Drosophila melanogaster: one gene and its partners. Changing the gene in region 1 together with any one later gene gives a genetic interaction. Each region holds a gene or a part of one and is shown in the gene's direction. Other genes may lie near its edges.

What was found. A genetic interaction does not mean that the proteins touch.
Region 2: of polo (region 1) and BubR1, changing one suppresses a phenotype caused by changing the other (phenotypic suppression), as found in Drosophila melanogaster (2 studies listed by BioGRID).
Region 3: of polo (region 1) and numb, changing one suppresses a phenotype caused by changing the other (phenotypic suppression), as found in Drosophila melanogaster (2 studies listed by BioGRID).

What each region holds. Positions count from the first base shown.
Region 1 is NT_037436.4:20,307,870-20,313,977, forward strand, and holds polo (polo), read left to right. Parts: upstream 1-1,784; 5' UTR 1,785-2,440; coding exon 2,441-2,539; intron 2,540-3,179; coding exon 3,180-3,404; intron 3,405-3,465; coding exon 3,466-4,248; intron 4,249-4,313; coding exon 4,314-4,742; intron 4,743-4,809; coding exon 4,810-5,004; 3' UTR 5,005-5,597; downstream 5,598-6,108. Other genes in the region: SCCRO4 (squamous cell carcinoma-related oncogene 4), read left to right, coding at 1-53, 225-478, 540-747, 878-957; alphaSnap (alpha soluble NSF attachment protein), read left to right, coding at 5,924-6,015. UniProt on the Drosophila melanogaster protein: May play a role in regulating both nuclear and cytoplasmic aspects of the mitotic cycle. Regulates localization of the augmin complex during mitosis by ensuring its location on mitotic spindles.
Region 2 is NT_033778.4:5,968,571-5,975,993, reverse strand, and holds BubR1 (Bub1-related kinase), read left to right. Parts: upstream 1-1,608; 5' UTR 1,609-1,710; coding exon 1,711-2,037; intron 2,038-2,100; coding exon 2,101-2,496; intron 2,497-2,872; coding exon 2,873-5,836; intron 5,837-5,998; coding exon 5,999-6,246; intron 6,247-6,306; coding exon 6,307-6,754; 3' UTR 6,755-6,895; downstream 6,896-7,423. Other genes in the region: mle (maleless), read left to right, coding at 1-804.
Region 3 is NT_033779.5:9,448,198-9,452,857, forward strand, and holds the start of numb (numb), read left to right. Parts: upstream 1-1,632; 5' UTR 1,633-2,184; intron 2,185-2,398; 5' UTR 2,399-2,423; intron 2,424-4,660.

The sequences.
Region 1 (6,108 bases):
TTGCATGGCCTGGTTCCAGGAGTACACAACACCAGATGAACCGGAGACATTGGGTGAGTTGGATGACACTGCAGTGTTTTATGTTATTTGAATATGTGCAATATAAAGATATCGGCAATCTTCTTAAATCGCTCAGGCATACCAAATTCTGGGTATATAAAGAAATTGCTTATTTATTTCTTATTGGCCCTTCGAAATACTTATGTAACAAACTGATTCTTCAGGTCCCGATGGCATGGAAAAATTCTGCGAGGATATCGGCGTGGAGCCCGAGAATATTGTGATGCTGGTGCTGGCCTACAAAATGGGCGCCACCCAGATGGGCTTCTTCAGCCAGCAGGAGTGGCTAAAGGGCCTCACAGAACTCGACTGCGATTCGGCAGCGAAAATGGTTGTGAAATTGGACTATCTGCGCAGCATACTCAACGATCCCAACTCCTTTAAAAGCATCTACAGATACGCCTACGACTTTGCCAAGGTCAGTAATCCATTTGAATAAACAATGAGCTGCGTTTAATAAGGCTCTGCATATTCCGCAGGACTCGGACCAACGGTGTATGGATATACTCACTGCCAAAGCCATGCTTCAACTACTTTTGGGCAAACATTGGCCTCTGTATCCACAGTTCGCACAGTTTCTAGAGCAATCAAAGTACAAGGCGATCAACAAAGATCAGTGGTGTAATATTCTCGAGTTCTCGCGCACCATTAGCATTGATCTATCAAACTACGATATCGACGGAGCTTGTAAGTAACACAAAGGAGCTAACTAAACTAAACTGAACTATGTATTTCGCAACCGTATTAAAAGAAGCTGATAAATAAGTTAAAATAAGAACTTGAAACGGAGCATTTAGTTACCCCCATCTTTTTGCAGGGCCCGTCATGCTGGATGAGTTTGTTGAATGGCTGCGCCTGCAGCGGAGTCAGGTCACCTCCACAACCGGATCTAGCTGAGAAAAGCTGTATCGAGTCGCCTATTTCTAGTTCAACTTTGGGAGCTCAGTGCGGAGAGGAGTTCGCGGAGACTGAGTCGGAGATGGGATGCGATGCGATGGGATGGGAATGCTGATAAGATAGATCGGCGAAAATTTAAGACATAACCGCAGGACACTCACTGACACCCACACCCACACTCAGATCCACGATCAGATCCACCAGCCACTTCTTCGGCCTAAAACACACAAGCACACACTCACCCACACGGAAACACAAGGCATTTTGGAGAGACTGCGTACACTGGCAAAGCAACCAACTATGAAACTAAACTATTGATAATATATTTAATGTAATAATTTATGTATTAACGACGACAACTAAGAACTAAAACCACATTTTTCTACTTATAAGGCCTCTTTCGCAAACAAAAACAAAACATTAAAATCAGAACAGCAACAAGAGCCAAAACGGGGCAGCTTGTAAGGAGTAATCCCAGAGAACGAAACGATGGCAATAACCAAGAGACCCCAAATAGACCTATTCTAGAACATACAATCCTCCAACCCAAGCGACCCCTTCGAGATATCAGCAGGCATAGTCAAAATCTAAACGGAAATCTACACCAATAGTGGGGTATTCGTAGTCGTTATTAAATCAATGTAGAAAAACAAAATCTGGGGATTATTTAATAAAGTTATTAAGTAAACACATTATTTTTTCTATTTACTTGTGTGTGTTTTAGTGTTGTTTTTTTTTTATCAAAATTATTTTTAACCGTTATTTGAAAGTTTAACTGAAAAACATAGAAGGCTTTGAGATAGCTGTTTCTAATAATTTCTTTTTAACACAAATCAGGATCGAAACCTGCAATTACAAGGTGGCAGTATTTTTACTCAGAAAACGTTTGCAGCAATTCAAATTAGAAAAGGGGCTCTACAATATAAAGTTGACCGTTGACTGTTTAGTAAACTCAATTTATGAAACCCTTTTGAAATTTCAAAAATGTAACGTTAGTTTTTGTAGATTTTCAAATAAATAGCGGTTAAACACAGTGTTGCGCAGAGCAATAGGAAAAAATATTGCGCTCAATTCGAACAGAGTAAACGCCAGTAGGTAAATTCAAAAGGGTAACGGCCATAGAATTTGTTGTTCAACACTCAACAAAATACCGCGATACATACCAGAAAGTGTGCGATAGCCAGCGAAACGGGCACACCAATTCAGCTGACGCTTCACGTCCAATTCATTTTGGCATTTAAAAAATCGAACGGTTTCGGCGCGTTCTCCGCTTTGTGCTTGGTTTTCGTGCATTCGATGGGCAAAACCGAGATTTGATCGCCGCTTCTCTTGTCAACCGTGTGGATCTGATCTCCGTTTCCGAGGCACTTTCAGCCGATCGCCGGTGGAATTATAGGCTCAGAACGAGGAGTATCGCCGCAAAACTCCAGGCGAACGCAAACGCAAAAGGGGCAGTCCGTAGTAAAGAAGAAAGGAGAGCAAGATGGCCGCGAAGCCCGAGGATAAGAGCACGGATATTCCGGATCGCCTCGTCGACATCAACCAGCGGAAAACCTACAAGCGCATGCGGTTCTTCGGCAAGGTGAGTCCGGATGCGGATTTGCAGATGCCCGGGATCAGATCAGTCGAAGGGATCACACATTTACCTACACGCACACATGCACGCACCCGCATACACACATATCCATTTCCACATCCCGGTTTTCGTTCCGTTTTCCTTGCTGATGAGCATTCCCTTGTTGTTTTTGTAGCTCTCTCCTTTAAGAGCAGGAGAGAAAAAGAGAGCCTGTGTGTGGGAATCTTGTACGAGCCTGTGTGTGTGTGTTCATGCAGTTGGCTGCTTGTTCAGTTTTTTTTTTTGGCGCGGCTTCTTCGAATTTACATAGACAAGAAAAGGAACTGTTGCAACTTAGTTGAACCAACAATTTCCTCGTTGTGCTATTGGCATATAAATATTTTCTTGGAAGGGGCTCCGCAGATTGGAGCAAAGGTACTAAACATGTGATTGTTAAATATAAATTACTAATTTTATGTTGCCAACCAATATGGATAAAAAGTTTATACAGAATATGTTTGTAAAATAGACATCAATACGTTTATTAAACGCCATTTACTTGAAAATACCTATATGCAAAGTTTTATCATAGATCTGTTTTTAATACAGTATAAGGTTATGTTTTTGTATAATGTTTTTAAATACAAAATTAATATGCTTTATGCAGGGCGGGTTTGCAAAATGTTACGAGATCATCGATGTGGAAACCGACGACGTCTTCGCCGGCAAGATCGTATCCAAGAAGCTGATGATCAAACACAATCAGAAGGAGAAGACCGCCCAGGAGATAACTATTCACCGCAGCCTTAACCATCCGAACATTGTCAAGTTTCACAACTACTTTGAAGATTCGCAGAATATCTACATTGTGCTGGAGCTGTGCAAGAAAAGAGTGAGTTTAATAGAACATCTCTGCAATATGCCACCATGACACTTACCTCTCCGACTTACAGTCCATGATGGAGCTGCACAAACGTAGGAAAAGCATTACGGAGTTCGAATGCCGCTACTACATTTACCAGATAATCCAGGGCGTTAAGTACTTGCACGATAACCGCATTATCCATCGAGATCTGAAGCTGGGCAATCTCTTCCTCAACGATTTGTTGCACGTGAAGATCGGGGATTTCGGGTTGGCCACGCGCATTGAGTATGAGGGCGAGCGAAAAAAGACCTTATGCGGAACGCCCAACTATATAGCCCCGGAGATCCTCACCAAGAAGGGCCACTCCTTCGAGGTGGACATCTGGTCGATTGGCTGCGTCATGTACACACTGCTTGTGGGCCAGCCGCCGTTCGAAACCAAGACTCTGAAGGATACGTACTCGAAAATCAAGAAGTGCGAGTACCGCGTGCCCAGCTACTTAAGGAAACCGGCGGCGGATATGGTCATCGCCATGCTGCAGCCAAATCCGGAGAGCCGCCCGGCAATTGGTCAGCTGCTGAACTTTGAGTTCCTCAAGGGCTCAAAGGTGCCCATGTTCTTGCCCAGCTCTTGTCTGACAATGGCGCCGCGTATCGGCAGCAACGACACCATCGAGGATTCGATGCACCGCAAGCCACTGATGGAGATGAACGGCATCAGGCCCGACGACACTCGTCTGGAGTCGACCTTCCTCAAGGCCAATCTGCACGACGCCATTACCGCGTCAGCGCAGGTGTGCCGCCACAGCGAGGACTATCGCAGCGATATCGAGAGCCTGTACCAGCAGCTCACTAATCTTATCAACGGAAAGGTAAGTACCTTTTGCTCTATATTAGTTAAATAATTTAAGACTCTTATACCTCTTCACTTCTTTAGCCGCGAATTCTGCAAGGCAATCTGGGCGACGAGAACACAGATCCTGCAGCGCAGCCGCTCTTCTGGATATCCAAGTGGGTTGACTACAGCGACAAGTACGGATTTGGTTACCAGCTGTGCGATGAGGGCATCGGCGTGATGTTCAACGACACCACAAAGCTGATCCTGCTGCCGAATCAGATCAACGTACACTTCATCGACAAGGATGGCAAGGAGACGTACATGACCACCACGGATTACTGCAAGTCGCTTGACAAGAAGATGAAGCTGCTGTCGTACTTTAAGCGCTACATGATCGAGCACCTGGTGAAGGCAGGTGCCAACAATGTGAACATTGAGAGCGATCAAATCTCGCGTATGCCCCATTTACACTCCTGGTTCCGTACAACATGTGCCGTAGTTATGCATTTGACCAACGGTTCTGTGCAGGTTTGTATAATTGTACAGCATCGGCATCATGTACATCTGGTCCTAATGAACTATCTATCCTTCTTAGCTAAACTTCTCAGATCACATGAAGCTCATCCTCTGCCCGCGCATGAGTGCTATAACCTATATGGACCAGGAGAAGAACTTCCGCACCTACCGATTTTCGACCATTGTGGAGAACGGCGTGTCTAAAGACTTGTACCAGAAGATCCGATATGCCCAGGAGAAACTTAGGAAAATGCTGGAGAAGATGTTCACATAAGCGTAGCCAGCCCAACTATCATTATAAGGCCGAATGTTAGTTTAACGTAATTCACGAATGCCCTGGCCAACTTCATTTATAGCCCAGAAAGTATCCTCCTCTCCCATCATCTTTTAAAATTGTAGTTCCCGTTCAAATTGATTTGTTCGATGTTTATAGAATTTATTTGTTTTTGCCCCTTCCCCTTCATATCGAAAATACTGCTTAAGTTATATTCATCGTCAGTGTTGGGCCTCCCTCAAAAGTAATTTAATATATCTGTTTAATGGTTTTCGTACACGATCCGATCACTTAATGCATTTTAAAGAGATCAAATTAAATGTTTAAACTAAGCAAACGTGTTTCGAAATGCCTATATTCACCGAGGTGACTGATAACAAAATTTTAATGCTGGATACATTATAAAAGTAATAGTGTAATATTGTGCGTTCGTAGTGCGCTATAGCGCCATTTAAAATAATACATAAGTTACAATACTGCTGCAAAGTGTTTAAGTGTACAAGTATATTCAACTTTGGCCAGAAATATCTGTAGCTATAGGATACAATATGTAAATGCTTTTGAACTAAAAGCGAATATATATAAAATTTAATAAAATATCTGAAAAAAGATTGTTTGCAACGTTTAGGGCAGCTGTTCTTAAAATGCACCTGCCAGACTGTAGGTGACGCATTCAGGCGGCTGAGAATTATTTTGAACGAACAAACGTTACAGCCCTTGCATTTCACAACACTGGCATGAGTTATTTGAGAATGCTGTGAGATGGTAACACTGGCACCACTTCTGCGGTCACACCAAGTCAGCATATTGATTTTATTTTCTCGAAAAAAGATCCCAATACGTACACACACTCGCTGAAAAGCCGAACAAGTCTTAAACTTAGATGCAATTAGTGCCGAGGCGGACATAAATCCTCGACATGGGTGACAACGAACAGAAGGCGCTCCAGCTGATGGCCGAGGCGGAGAAGAAGTTGACCCAGCAGAAGGGCTTTCTGGGATCGCTGTTCGGGTGCGTATCAAATCAAAGAAGTTTCGCAATTTCTGTGGGAGTGGGGAAATGGAGCTGTGTCTGGTCTAGCCTAGCATCTCCACAACCCCACAA
Region 2 (7,423 bases), on another chromosome or scaffold:
AAAGCAGCGTTACTGCACAAAACCTCGGTGAATTGCAGCAACTTGGCCGTCACATTTCCGTATCCGTTCTTCGTTTTCGGCGAGAAGATTCGCACGCGAGCTGTTTCCTGCAAGCAACTATCTATGGTCTCGCCCTTGCAGGTGATATTGTTTGGATCGCGCAAGATTGACTTGGCCGCCAACAATATAGTGCGCGTTGACAACTGGCTTAACTTCGACATAGAGCCGGAACTTGCGGCCAAGATTGGTGCCCTTAAGCCGGCCCTGGAGGATCTTATCACGGTGGCGTGCGACAACCCTTCCGACATACTTCGCCTTGAGGAGCCCTATGCACAGCTGGTCAAAGTGGTCAAAGACCTTTGCGTTAAGAGCGCCGGAGACTTCGGACTGCAGCGTGAATCAGGAATTCTGCCGCACCAATCACGTCAGTTCAGTGACGGCGGAGGACCGCCCAAACGAGGTCGCTTTGAGACAGGACGCTTTACTAACAGCAGCTTTGGTCGCCGTGGAAACGGCAGAACTTTTGGAGGAGGATATGGAAATAATGGAGGAGGATATGGAAATAATGGAGGAGGATATGGAAATATTGGAGGAGGATATGGAAATAATGCAGGAGGTTATGGAAATAATGGTGGATATGGAAATAATGGCGGAGGTTATAGAAATAATGGTGGAGGATATGGAAACAATGGCGGAGGATATGGGAACAAGAGAGGTGGATTTGGAGACTCATTTGAAAGCAATAGAGGATCAGGCGGCGGCTTTAGAAATGGCGACCAAGGCGGCCGCTGGGGTAACTTTTAACGGATACATAAAAAAAATGTATTGGTTTTTTCAAAAACAAAAAGAATAATAAACATTACTATTCGCATTTCGATATGCTGAAGGGATTATACAAATAAGACGCATTGAATCTTTTGGTTTTTTGGCATTAAATACGCATGTGCGATCCGAATAGATTCACGAGTTAACGTATGTAAATAGTAACCAAATATGATAGTTCCGCTGACATTCCCTAACCTGTTGCATACATACATATATTGCTGGAATTTCGTTTGTGAAGGCGTGGAAATCGTTTATTGTCACAAAATGAGATCAAAAACATTCATTCTATAAAGGCTTTTGGTGAACCTGTGTAATCATTATTTTTTATCTCTGCTAGCATTTTAGACGATTACTGATTTCGCAATTAGACCTTTTTAAAACATATGTCATGACAACAATATATACAATAAAAAGCCATATATATGCAAAACATATTTCGTGCCTTATCAAAACTCGAAGGGAAAAGAAAAATTAATTATTGTACAGATATGGCGGTGATTTTAAAATATCATAATTTTCGAAGCAATAATGAAAGTTGATCAAATAAATATTAGATCACAAAGATTTGAGGAGCACCAGAAATGTAATAGTAACTGGAGTAAGCTGTTCTTACGCTTCTTTTTTACTGGTCAAGATGGTGAGCTTCGTTACCAATTAAAAGTGGTGGTCAGTGATGACGTTGTGTTGCTAAGCAATTCAATTTTTATCGTATGTATTTCGGCTTCAGTGAGAACAGTTTTTCAATCGAAGTATCGATACGACACAATTAAAAATATCGAAAGAGCGTAGTATCATTCATCTCTAGCATTTGCTTCGGCGCGTAGTTTTTGTTTAACCGATACAAGACAACCAAAAGTTTCAGGTCATTTGCTTGAGGAGAACGATATGGACTTTGACAATGCGAAAGAGAACATTCAGCCGCTGGCCAGCGGTCGCAATGTGAGCCTTCTGCAGGCTTCTCTTAGCCAGGACTCCACCCACGGCCAGGAACTGCTGGCACAACGCAAGCAAATGGAGGAGGAGGTGCGCACCTACAAAGGCGCGGATCCTCTCGGTGCCTGGTACACGTTCATCTGCTGGATCGAGCAGAGCTATCCGGCGGGGGGCAGTGGCTCCGGTCTGCAGACTGTCCTACACCAGTGCCTCACCAAATTTGAAGACGACGAGCGCTACCGTCAGGACAAGCGGCTTATAAAGCTTTTCATTAAATTCGTGAGTAGCCGATGATATTTTAAACGATCACTCAACCACCGATTTTACTTCGTCACTTTTTAGATGGAGAAACAGAAGGACAAGATCGAGTTTTATCAGCAGATGTACAACAACGGGATCGGAACAATGCTGGCAGATTTCTACATTGCTTGGGCCTACAGCTACGACCTGAGCGGTAACATGCGCAAGGCCGACGAGATCTTTCGCTTAGGTCTAGAGTGCCGCGCAGAGCCCTTAGAGGATCTGAAGGAGGCCCACCACCACTTTGGCTATACGGTGGGCCAGCGCATGCTCTACAGCACTGGTGAAGAGGCCAACGCAGTAAACCAGGAACTTAACGAGCGACGGCTAGCACTGCAATCACTTCATGGTCGCCGGCAGCAGATCTCTAACAGCATCACCGTGGGCAGCATCCGTACCGGAGCAGCAGTTAAAAGCGGCCTCCCAGGCGTGGTTCAGGTGGGTGATTTTTTATTTCATGTTTACAAAGAACTTGGTTGGCTAGAGAAATCGGTTTCAAGTATAATTTTGCTTTTATAACTTATGTTTGATGCATGTTTAATGACTATCTTCTCTAGAATTCAGAAACAACAGAGAACGATAGAGAACGAGTCGGTTTCCTTGACTATCAGGTGCACCTTACCTTAATTTGTATTTGTATTTTATTAAACGGCTTAGGGTGAACCTGTCCAACTTTTTGGAGATCCCGCCGTTAAGCTCGATTTTTTCTAAGGGATTTTAAATCCACCTAAGCTTTTATATCAATATACAGTAGTAATAAAAAAGGTTTAAATCGAATAAAATTTCTTTAAAAATATACATTGTCATTCTGCAGGTCGAGCCTTCAACCACCACCAGTAGGCGCAATGTAGGTCGGAACGTTGAGGTGTTTAATGACGAAAATTCTGAGGGAAATATTCCGATCTCTAATTCTGAGACGGAGGTGAAGTCAAGCCTGCGATCCATTATCGACTCGGCTTGCAGTCAGGAGAATATAAAAGAACCGGTGGCCTGGAATAAGGCAAATGCTAAACGCCACAAACATGGAAAAATTTTCGGCAGTAACGCCTCGCCGGATCTGGGCTTTGATATACACGTTGACGAACAAGCAATGCCACCTATTACAAACTACGAGCGTCGTCTAGAACAACCATTTAGATTTCCGACAAACTTTGTGGCCAAGAACAGGCCTCAGGAACCGTGGGTGACGCCAGTTACTATTGAGGACGAGCCAAACGCAAGTGGACTGCCTTGCTATAACAAGTGTCTCCTCTACCCCCGCCCCAACATCGAGTTCTCGCCCGAAGAGTATCGAGCCTATTCCTTTTTGAAGCATCGCAACCCACAGCATCCATTTATCCATCGCAATGATGATTGGTGGGGCACTGGACGGGTGATCAGAGGAATTCGCTGCTATCCGAATTTCGCCAGATATTCTAAGCCACAAGATCTCGATGAGCTAGACAAGTTTTGGAAACCCCCACTGGTACCGGGCCTTCAGGTAGTTTTTGACAAAATTTACAACGAAGTTGAGCAAAAGGAGTACCAGCCAGAGGAGTTGTTGGCAGCTAAATGGATGGAAAAACGAAATGTGACAGTTCATGGTGACTTTGACATGGAAGAAACCGTTTGCTTGCCCGGAAACAAGATGCCACGCCGCAAGAGCTTCTTTCCCTCTTCCTTCAGAAAATCCATCATGCCACGCAGAGTTTCGTCTGTGCAGGAGGAGGATGAAAAGAAAGAGGATGAAGCCACTTTGATTGTAAAAGATATACCTTCTCAGGTGGCACCTAAGATACCTGAATCGCCGTGCGATCAAATAGATGAGCCAAAAATTAAAATATTTGAGGATTCCGGTTCTCCACGTGACAATTTTGCTGTACCGGCCGTTCCTGTTCCGAAAATAGAGATCTATGAAGACTCTGAAGAGCCGCAGCCAACTCCAAAAACAAGGCCGTTTTATGACGGAGATGAGACCTGCTCCACGCAAATGTTCAACATGTTCATAAAGTCGCAGGCAGTAAGCACTCCTAAGGGAACACAGAAACAGGCTCCGTCACGTCAATTTGGAACCGTGCTCAAAGAACTACCGCTACCAGAGGAGGCTGCTCATTCCGTCGAATCTCCAGTGGAGACTCGTTCTCCAACTTTGCGAAAGCAACTATCTACCATATTGGAAACCTCTGAGCACGGCACACAAAGCTTGGCGACGAGCGGTACCACCACTAAATCCACTATTACCTCCACGTCTTCACCCGGATCCAATGCTGTTTCTAAACTAGGCAGCAAGATTGAAGAGAACACTCCTGGACAAATGCGTCTGCAGCGCGTGATAAGTGCTGGTGTATCAGCAGTCCTTTCCGAGCCGGAAAAACCGGGTGGTGACAACTTTTTGCGCCGTGAGTTATGGGAGCCCAATGCGCCTAGCGTGCCTATGCTTAAGTCGTTGCGCTTCCAAGAGGATAAGACAGAGACTATCCCAAGACCTCTTGCTTGCTTTCAGGAAGATAAAACTGAAACACTCCCACAAATGCCGATCGCACTGCCGGAGAATTCTATGGATCATGGCTCACTGGGAGCTGAAAATTGTTTTTCCGCACCGCAACTTCCCACTTTGGAGGATGAAAGCGATTTGTGTGGATTGTTTGGAAAGACACCGCCGAAAACAAATATTTTTGGCTCTCCGAAGCGCAATTTCGATCCAACTTCACAGCTTTTTAAATCGACACAGGGCGATCGGAGATCCTTCGCAGTGACTGGCAACAAACTGGAGGCTGCGCCCAGCATCAGCAATCTGCAGGATTCCTTTATGTGCGACCTTTCCTTTGTGCCCGAAACGCAGCCTGAAGCTGTAGCAAAATCAGGGGCGATACAGAAGTTTGATATTTTTCTGGACGACACGCAGCCAAAGCTCACTAAGTCAAAACCAGTAGCTTTAATGGTCTCCAGCTTTGACTTAGACTGCACGCTGCCCGAAACGCAACAGGTGGCAATTAAGGAGCCAGGGACTCAACAGGAAAATATTGGGCACTCCCATATGATTGCCTCGTTTATGAAAGATTGCACAGAAATAGGCAGCTGTCCTTCACAGATGCCGGCTTCCGTTGTCAAAACGAATATTTCAAGCACATCGAATAAGATCAAATTTTCCAACGATTCCATGTCAGAATCGTCAAGGAAAGCCCCTGTGAATGAAAATGTCGGTATTTCAAAACAACCTGACGAGTTTTTCGAGCTTAACGCAGCTACTGAAATGTTTGCAACAAATATCAGTATGATAAAAAATTCCACACTGCTGATCCCTAACGCAAAGGTAGCAGAGGCGTCGGAACTAAGCATCTACTATAAGACAACTCCACTGACGCCGAAGCAATCGCACCGTTCCTGGTCGCAGTCTGATTTAGAAACTCCTCCGCGGGAAAACTTTGTTCACCCCACCTCAAACGGAGATCAAACTGTTTTGAACGAAACGCTGGCAGACGCTAATAAAAACCCTTTCAATGTAGAACTGATCAGCTCGCTACTCGAATCAATTGACTTTTCTATGTACATCGAAAAGCTGCCCCATTGTCAACTGGTTGGACACGTTAAGCGCCTACATCCTAACACCCACCTGGAAGTGCACAACGAAAAGTTTGAGGTGTCTAAAATGATAGGAAAGGGGGCTTATGGCTCGGTTTATGTAGGAAAGCATCTGAAATCTGGCAAGAAGGTCGCGCTCAAGCAGGAACGGCCCACTAACTACTGGGAGTTCTACATTTGTCTAGAGATTCACAGCCGGCTAACTAGTGAGCAAATGGTAAGGCATAACTAATAATATATGGACATTAAATCCGATTTTTCAAATAGTTTTTATTCCAAGTTTATTATCCTAGAATATTACCTATTCATATCATATAGAGGGATAATTATTAATACTTGTCACATGACACGAATTAACCGAATGCAAATTCTTTTACAGATTCCATCCTATGCACATATTGACTATGCACTGGTAGGAAATAATTCCAGTGTATACATCTCAGAGTTTTCAGACTATGGTTCTCTGATCGGTGTATGCAACAAGGTTAAGAGTGTCACTAACAGGAATATGGACGAGTATGTGGTAATGCATCTGAGTTGCCAAATGCTCGATATTGTGGATCACCTGCACGCCATGGGTATAATCCACGCCGACATCAAGCCGGATAACTTTCTACTTATGAAACCGTAATAACCAGAAAGCTTCTTCGTCAACACCAATAATATCACAGGTTTTTTCTGTTTCAGGATATGTGCGGATCCCAACGAAGTCAGCCTGCAGCTTATTGATTTCGGTGTGTCTATTGACATGAAGCTGTTTCCGGACAATCAGACATTCAACTATGTTCATCATGATGACCTATTCAAGTGCATTGAGATGAGAACGGGACGCCCATGGACTTACCAATTGGATTTATATGGTCTCGTAAGCGTTATGCATGTGCTGCTTTTCGGCCGCTATATGGAAGTAGTGCAGCGGTCTCCGAGCACGATTTGGATGCCGAAAACAAACGTGCCACGCTACTTTCAGCGCACAATGTGGGAAAACATCTTCCGCACTCTGCTTAACATTAGAGATTGTCGCACCATGCCTAATCTGCAGCAACTGCGTACGCAGCTTAAATGTGCGTTGGCCGAAAAGGAAAAATATGTTGCCGAGGCAATCAGCAAGTTTAACACGATATTGCAGAAATAGCTGTCTTCTTGTGCAAACATAGTAATATAAACATATTCACATTGCATACCTTAACACGTTCTTGTTAACTGGTTAATGGTTGCTATAAGTAATACGCAACTATTCTGTTTTAAAATTTAAAATAAAAAGAAAAGGTTTTTTAAAAGTGTGTGTGTGACTGTTTTGAAACCGTGGCACTTAACTAATAAAACACTGGCTATTCTAGAATGTGCATCATGGGTCATGGTTATATCGACTCGACTGTTTACCTTGATCAAGAATATAAATTTAGTTACGTTGGAAACGCGTAATTCTGACTGTTGCATACTTTTCAACGAATCTCAAATACCCTTTTATTCGGCGAAGAAACAACGATTTTTGAATCCTCCATTCGTTGCCCCTCATCTTTCAGCTGGGAGACGCTGCCATATACATATGTATTAATGACGGCAGCAGAATATCTTCTCACTAGATGCCATGAAACTTGGTTTATCAATCTTAGGGAAACGAGATCATTTCTTTTAATTGCAATGATTGCGGTAGGTGCTTATGAATCGCGGACTCGTTTGGCAGTCGTTTGTGTATTCCACACAAAATCTTATTCATCTTATTATGCAAGGACATGTCAAATTTTATTTTTGGCGACATATCTTACATTTTTTTCCATTAATTATGTATGTGTATACATAT
Region 3 (4,660 bases), on another chromosome or scaffold:
ATGGTTTGCTCCCAATAGTTTTGATACCATTCTTTTTACTACCTGATTTTATGGGCTACCTGGATTAAAGTCGCTGCTGCATTGCAATTTTTCGCACGTTTCATTGCTGAAAACTCTCTTATTATCTATATGTATGACTGTCTCACGCGCACATTTGGGTATTTATCTTTCGGAGTTATCTATGTTTCTCTTAGGGTACAATTTTCTCTTAAAGAGCGAACGACCTTGCATCGCGCGCTCTTTTGTTCTACGGTTTCGATCGATCATTTTGCCATTGTTGTCACGGAATTTAGGTTGGGCAACTAATTCAAATCGATAAGTTCAATACATTGATTACCGAGCCTTGATTATTGTTCAGTTAATCAGTTTTTATTCTTTTCATTTGTTTTGTATGTCCGTTGGGATTTCATAACCACCTAGCCATCTTTTGCATTTTGTTAATAGCTAAGTCTTTGGTAACTCTCTTTGATGACTCTCTTGAGTGCCATAATCATTTCCATTCAAACCAAACCACTCGCTCTTCATACTCCATGTGGAAAAAACTGGCAGCTGCAGAACCAACGAAACCAACTGGTTTTGAATGCCCTTCTATCACTTCAATGGGGTATCTCAAATCCTGATTTCGAAGACAAAAAAATTTTCGGGATTAGTAATTTTTATTACGCAAGTTTTTAAAGATAACATCCTTAAAACTTGTAATTTTTACACCCGTGCAAAATTCATAATTTATTTTACAAAGTTTCCAAGAATTTGAGCGCTGCTAAAGAAAGACGACTAAAGACAATTCCGAACTTTAAATCCAAGGCGTATGGGTTAGCGATAAATCTGAGAGCCAGAGATATTACAAAACAATAAGAGGACCTTTTTGAACTACCCGGCTTTGTAATTATCTTAGCACTGGCCCATTTGGGAAATTCCCAGAGTTAAATAATAAAATTGAGCTCGTGTTTTCCAAGAATTTTCTCAACTTATCCCAACCGCAAATCTTTTAAGCCACGGTCACCAAATCGCGATCTCTAAATGCAGCGCATCTGAGATTATACCTGGCCGAGATACCTTAAACGCCACTCTCGCTCGCTCAACTTCTGCTATCTCACTCCCACTCTTGAAAACCTACAAGCTGCAGAAACGCGTCGCAGTTTTATCATTATCACAACAAATACAAACGCAGCAGAGCGGAGGTGAGATGGAAGAAGCAAAACGACGTCGTCGTTGGTAGTAAATAAACACAATGGAACTGAGCAAATCCACAAACGTACTGGTGCACTGAAAAAATCACTTTAAAGTTTTAAGAGGACTTAACAACTTGTAATATAATAAATAAAATAAAACACTATGATAATAATGGCTTAATAGGTTGTATTAAAAGCGCGTAATAGAATAAGGCAATACCCTTTGATGACGACCTTTTCCAAATCGATAGAAAAGTAGTAAGATCACTCTTCCCTCAAAGTGATCTTAACACCACATTTAGTTGAAATCAGGGCCAATTTGTTCGATTTTTCTCAGTGCACACACACACAGGCCGAAACACCCTGTAACAGCTGTCGCTCTCTTCCGCTCTTTGCACGCTCGCACTCTTTCCTCTCGACTCAAACAGCGCTGAGCGTGCGGCCAGAGTCAGCCAGTACAGTAGAGCAATTTGAGCCGCCGCATCGAGCTAACCGCTTACCGCTTGCCGGACAAACGCGTTCCGTTTTCCCTCCGCTTCCATTCGCTTTCGGCCCACTGTCGTCGTCGGTTGTCCAAATGTCCGCGTAGGGATAGTGTAACCTTTTTCCAATTTCCGGGGGGGTCATAGTAAAAAAGTTAACACCTAAGTAGTCCAGGCCTTTTGGGCCAAGCCGATCCCAGCCATCCATTTACCGGGCACCGGGCTCTTAACACGGGGATCGTTTTAATCGGTGTCGCGTTGTCGTTATTTCGGTTTTTCGCGATTTTCCCCACATTCCGTGTGCTGTGTGCTGTGCGAGGTGTTCTTGGAATTAATAAATAGTTAAAACCGAAACGTTGGCAAAAATCCACTGAATGAGCAAGAAAGTTATATAAGGCCCGAACCGGATTTATTTATTAATTATACATACGAATGTGATCAAAACAAAAACAGACTGACAACAAAACTCGGCTTTTTGGAATATACCAAAAAAAGCAACTCAAATACAAACCGATCCCGATATATATATGGTAAATGTTTAAAACCAAAAAAAAAAAAAAAACAGTAACAACAGCCAAAGTTGAGCTTAACTTGAGCTTCGGATTTAAAGCCAAGTCAAAACGAGTTTATTGTGGTGCAAAATCAGATTTGCATATACATATGCAATTCTTTTACAGCTTTACGCTAGTTGTTGCTGCTTTGACATTTGTAAAAACATAATATTCATTTTTGTAATAATTCCAGTTTTTGACGTCTTCAATATGCATTGGTATAGAAAACTAAAAACAGCTGTTCAAACTATGTAACACTATACTAGACTTTGCTTCGCAATAAGCTAAAGTATTCAAAATACGTTTTGGGGCATTAATTTTAATAATCAGGGGGAGTATATCCATTAAGGTTATAGCGATACCAGTAATTTAGAATGAATTACCCAGCTAAAAAACTCAATAAATCTTTGCAGTTTGCACTTGAACATAGCAATTGTTGAGAGAGGGTTAACAAATGAAATATATAAACACAATTAGCAATTAGCTGATTTTGGCTGGATCACATGAACGCACATACATACATACGCACATACGTACATATATATCTAAAAAGTTACGATTGACTGGATTCTACTGGTCTCCAGTCTCTCACGTTTCCGAAGATGAATCATTTGGCATGACTACAACTCTTCGAATCGATCGTATATAAAGACTATTTAGACTATTTCAAATATAGTCCCACATTTCAGTTTAAAATCCAATGAATTTCTGCCGAAGCATGCACATATTCTTACCACAAACTCTTCTCCCAGCTCTTTTGTAAAGTTAATTTATTTTAATGTATACTGTGTGCCAAATTATTTGACTGTCAACTGCATAAATTACTGCGATAACAAACAAAACGAAGAAAAAAAAGAAAAGTGGCAAAGGCAAAATGGAAAATGGGGAAAATTTCCCATTGAAATGAGTAATGAATTGGTTTGGGGCGGCTGAGAACGAAACCAACCGAGAGTGGGTGAAAATATATTATAATAACAGTGTAATTAAATGCCAACTTGGCCCCCGCTTTCGCCAGAAGAGAGTTTTTTGCAGCCGCAAACTATGGGATACTTTTGCTTTGCATAATTATGCTGTTCAACTTGATTTACTCGGAATGTTCTTCAAGATCTTGAGTTTCCACCAAAAGGGCTCCCTGATTTATGCTGCACTTTTTTCTTTTTTTTTTGGTAGCAATGCTTTGCAGCCTGGTCAGATTATAAATCTCAGCAGTTCATAAAAACTTCAGGCAAAAAGCTCCAGCAAAAACCATTCAGAAACATTCCAAGAAAAGCCAGAAACACGAACGAAAAAAAAAACTGGTAACAAGCCGAGGAAAAAAGTAAGAACATAATGCTACCTGGGTGCAGTTGGACTTGAGTTAAGCCAACTCTGGGATGGTGGAGCCGCGTCGAATGGAACCGGTTTGGTGGCTGGCTGGCAGCCAGCCGACTCCAACTTTTCTCACATGCCTTTCGATTATGCCAAGTCGACTGCATTCTTCGAGACGCGGCTTTCGCTAAACGTTTGGCTAAGACCGAGCTCTCAGCTCTCAGCTCCAAGCTCCAGCGCCCCATCCTCGAGCTCCATCCCATCGCTCTGCAAGTTCAACACTCAGTCGAGGAGTTAGACCTCAACTTCAACTTCAACTTGATCGCTGCCTCGGCTGTGGCTGCATAAAACTTTAATTTCATGGAATTTCCTTTCTATTTTTATGCTGCAACGCCGATGATTAACAACAGCAGCAGCAGCCAGCCAGCCAACTGCCAACAAAGAGAGACGTTGGACAAGTCAAGAACACGGGAACAAGTCCAAGACCAAGTCTAACTCCAAGTCATGGCTGCCAGCTAGAACTTCAACTTCTGGGCCATTAACTTAGCTCTGGAGACGGGACACAGCGGGCATGTGGCACCTGGCATTCTACATCTAAGGCAGGAAATTAAAAATGCAAAAAATTGGATAATTATGCATGTAAACGTTTTGTCATTAAGTTGATACTTAAATGCTGCGTCGATTAACAGGCAGATTTTAATAGAAAATAACGCTATTAAATCGGCCTAGAAGACACGGGGATTCCTTTAGGTGTCCCCACTTGTATTTCTTTTATAAAAACCACTTGCAATTGCTTTGAAAGTCTGCAAAAAATTACAATTATGAACCTTAAAGGGTATTAGAGAGTTTGTAACTTTTTGTTTATACTTGGCATTTTTCTTGCCTGCCAATAGCTAACTAGCCGTAAAGCTGAACAGCAAACATTTCGCATTAATGCCAAAAACTTTTCTCGCCTCTCGAAGACCCGACTAAGTCGACACGCCAACTTGGTAATAACTTGGCCTTGGCTTGGCTAAGTTGGCCAAAGCCGCAGCGCCTTAAGAATGTCAAAGGGCATGCTTGGATATGATTACGAGAATTTCCGTTCCTAGCTCCTTTTTTATTGCCTTTAATGAGCCAGTTCAATTTCCGGTCTGTCAGCTGGTTG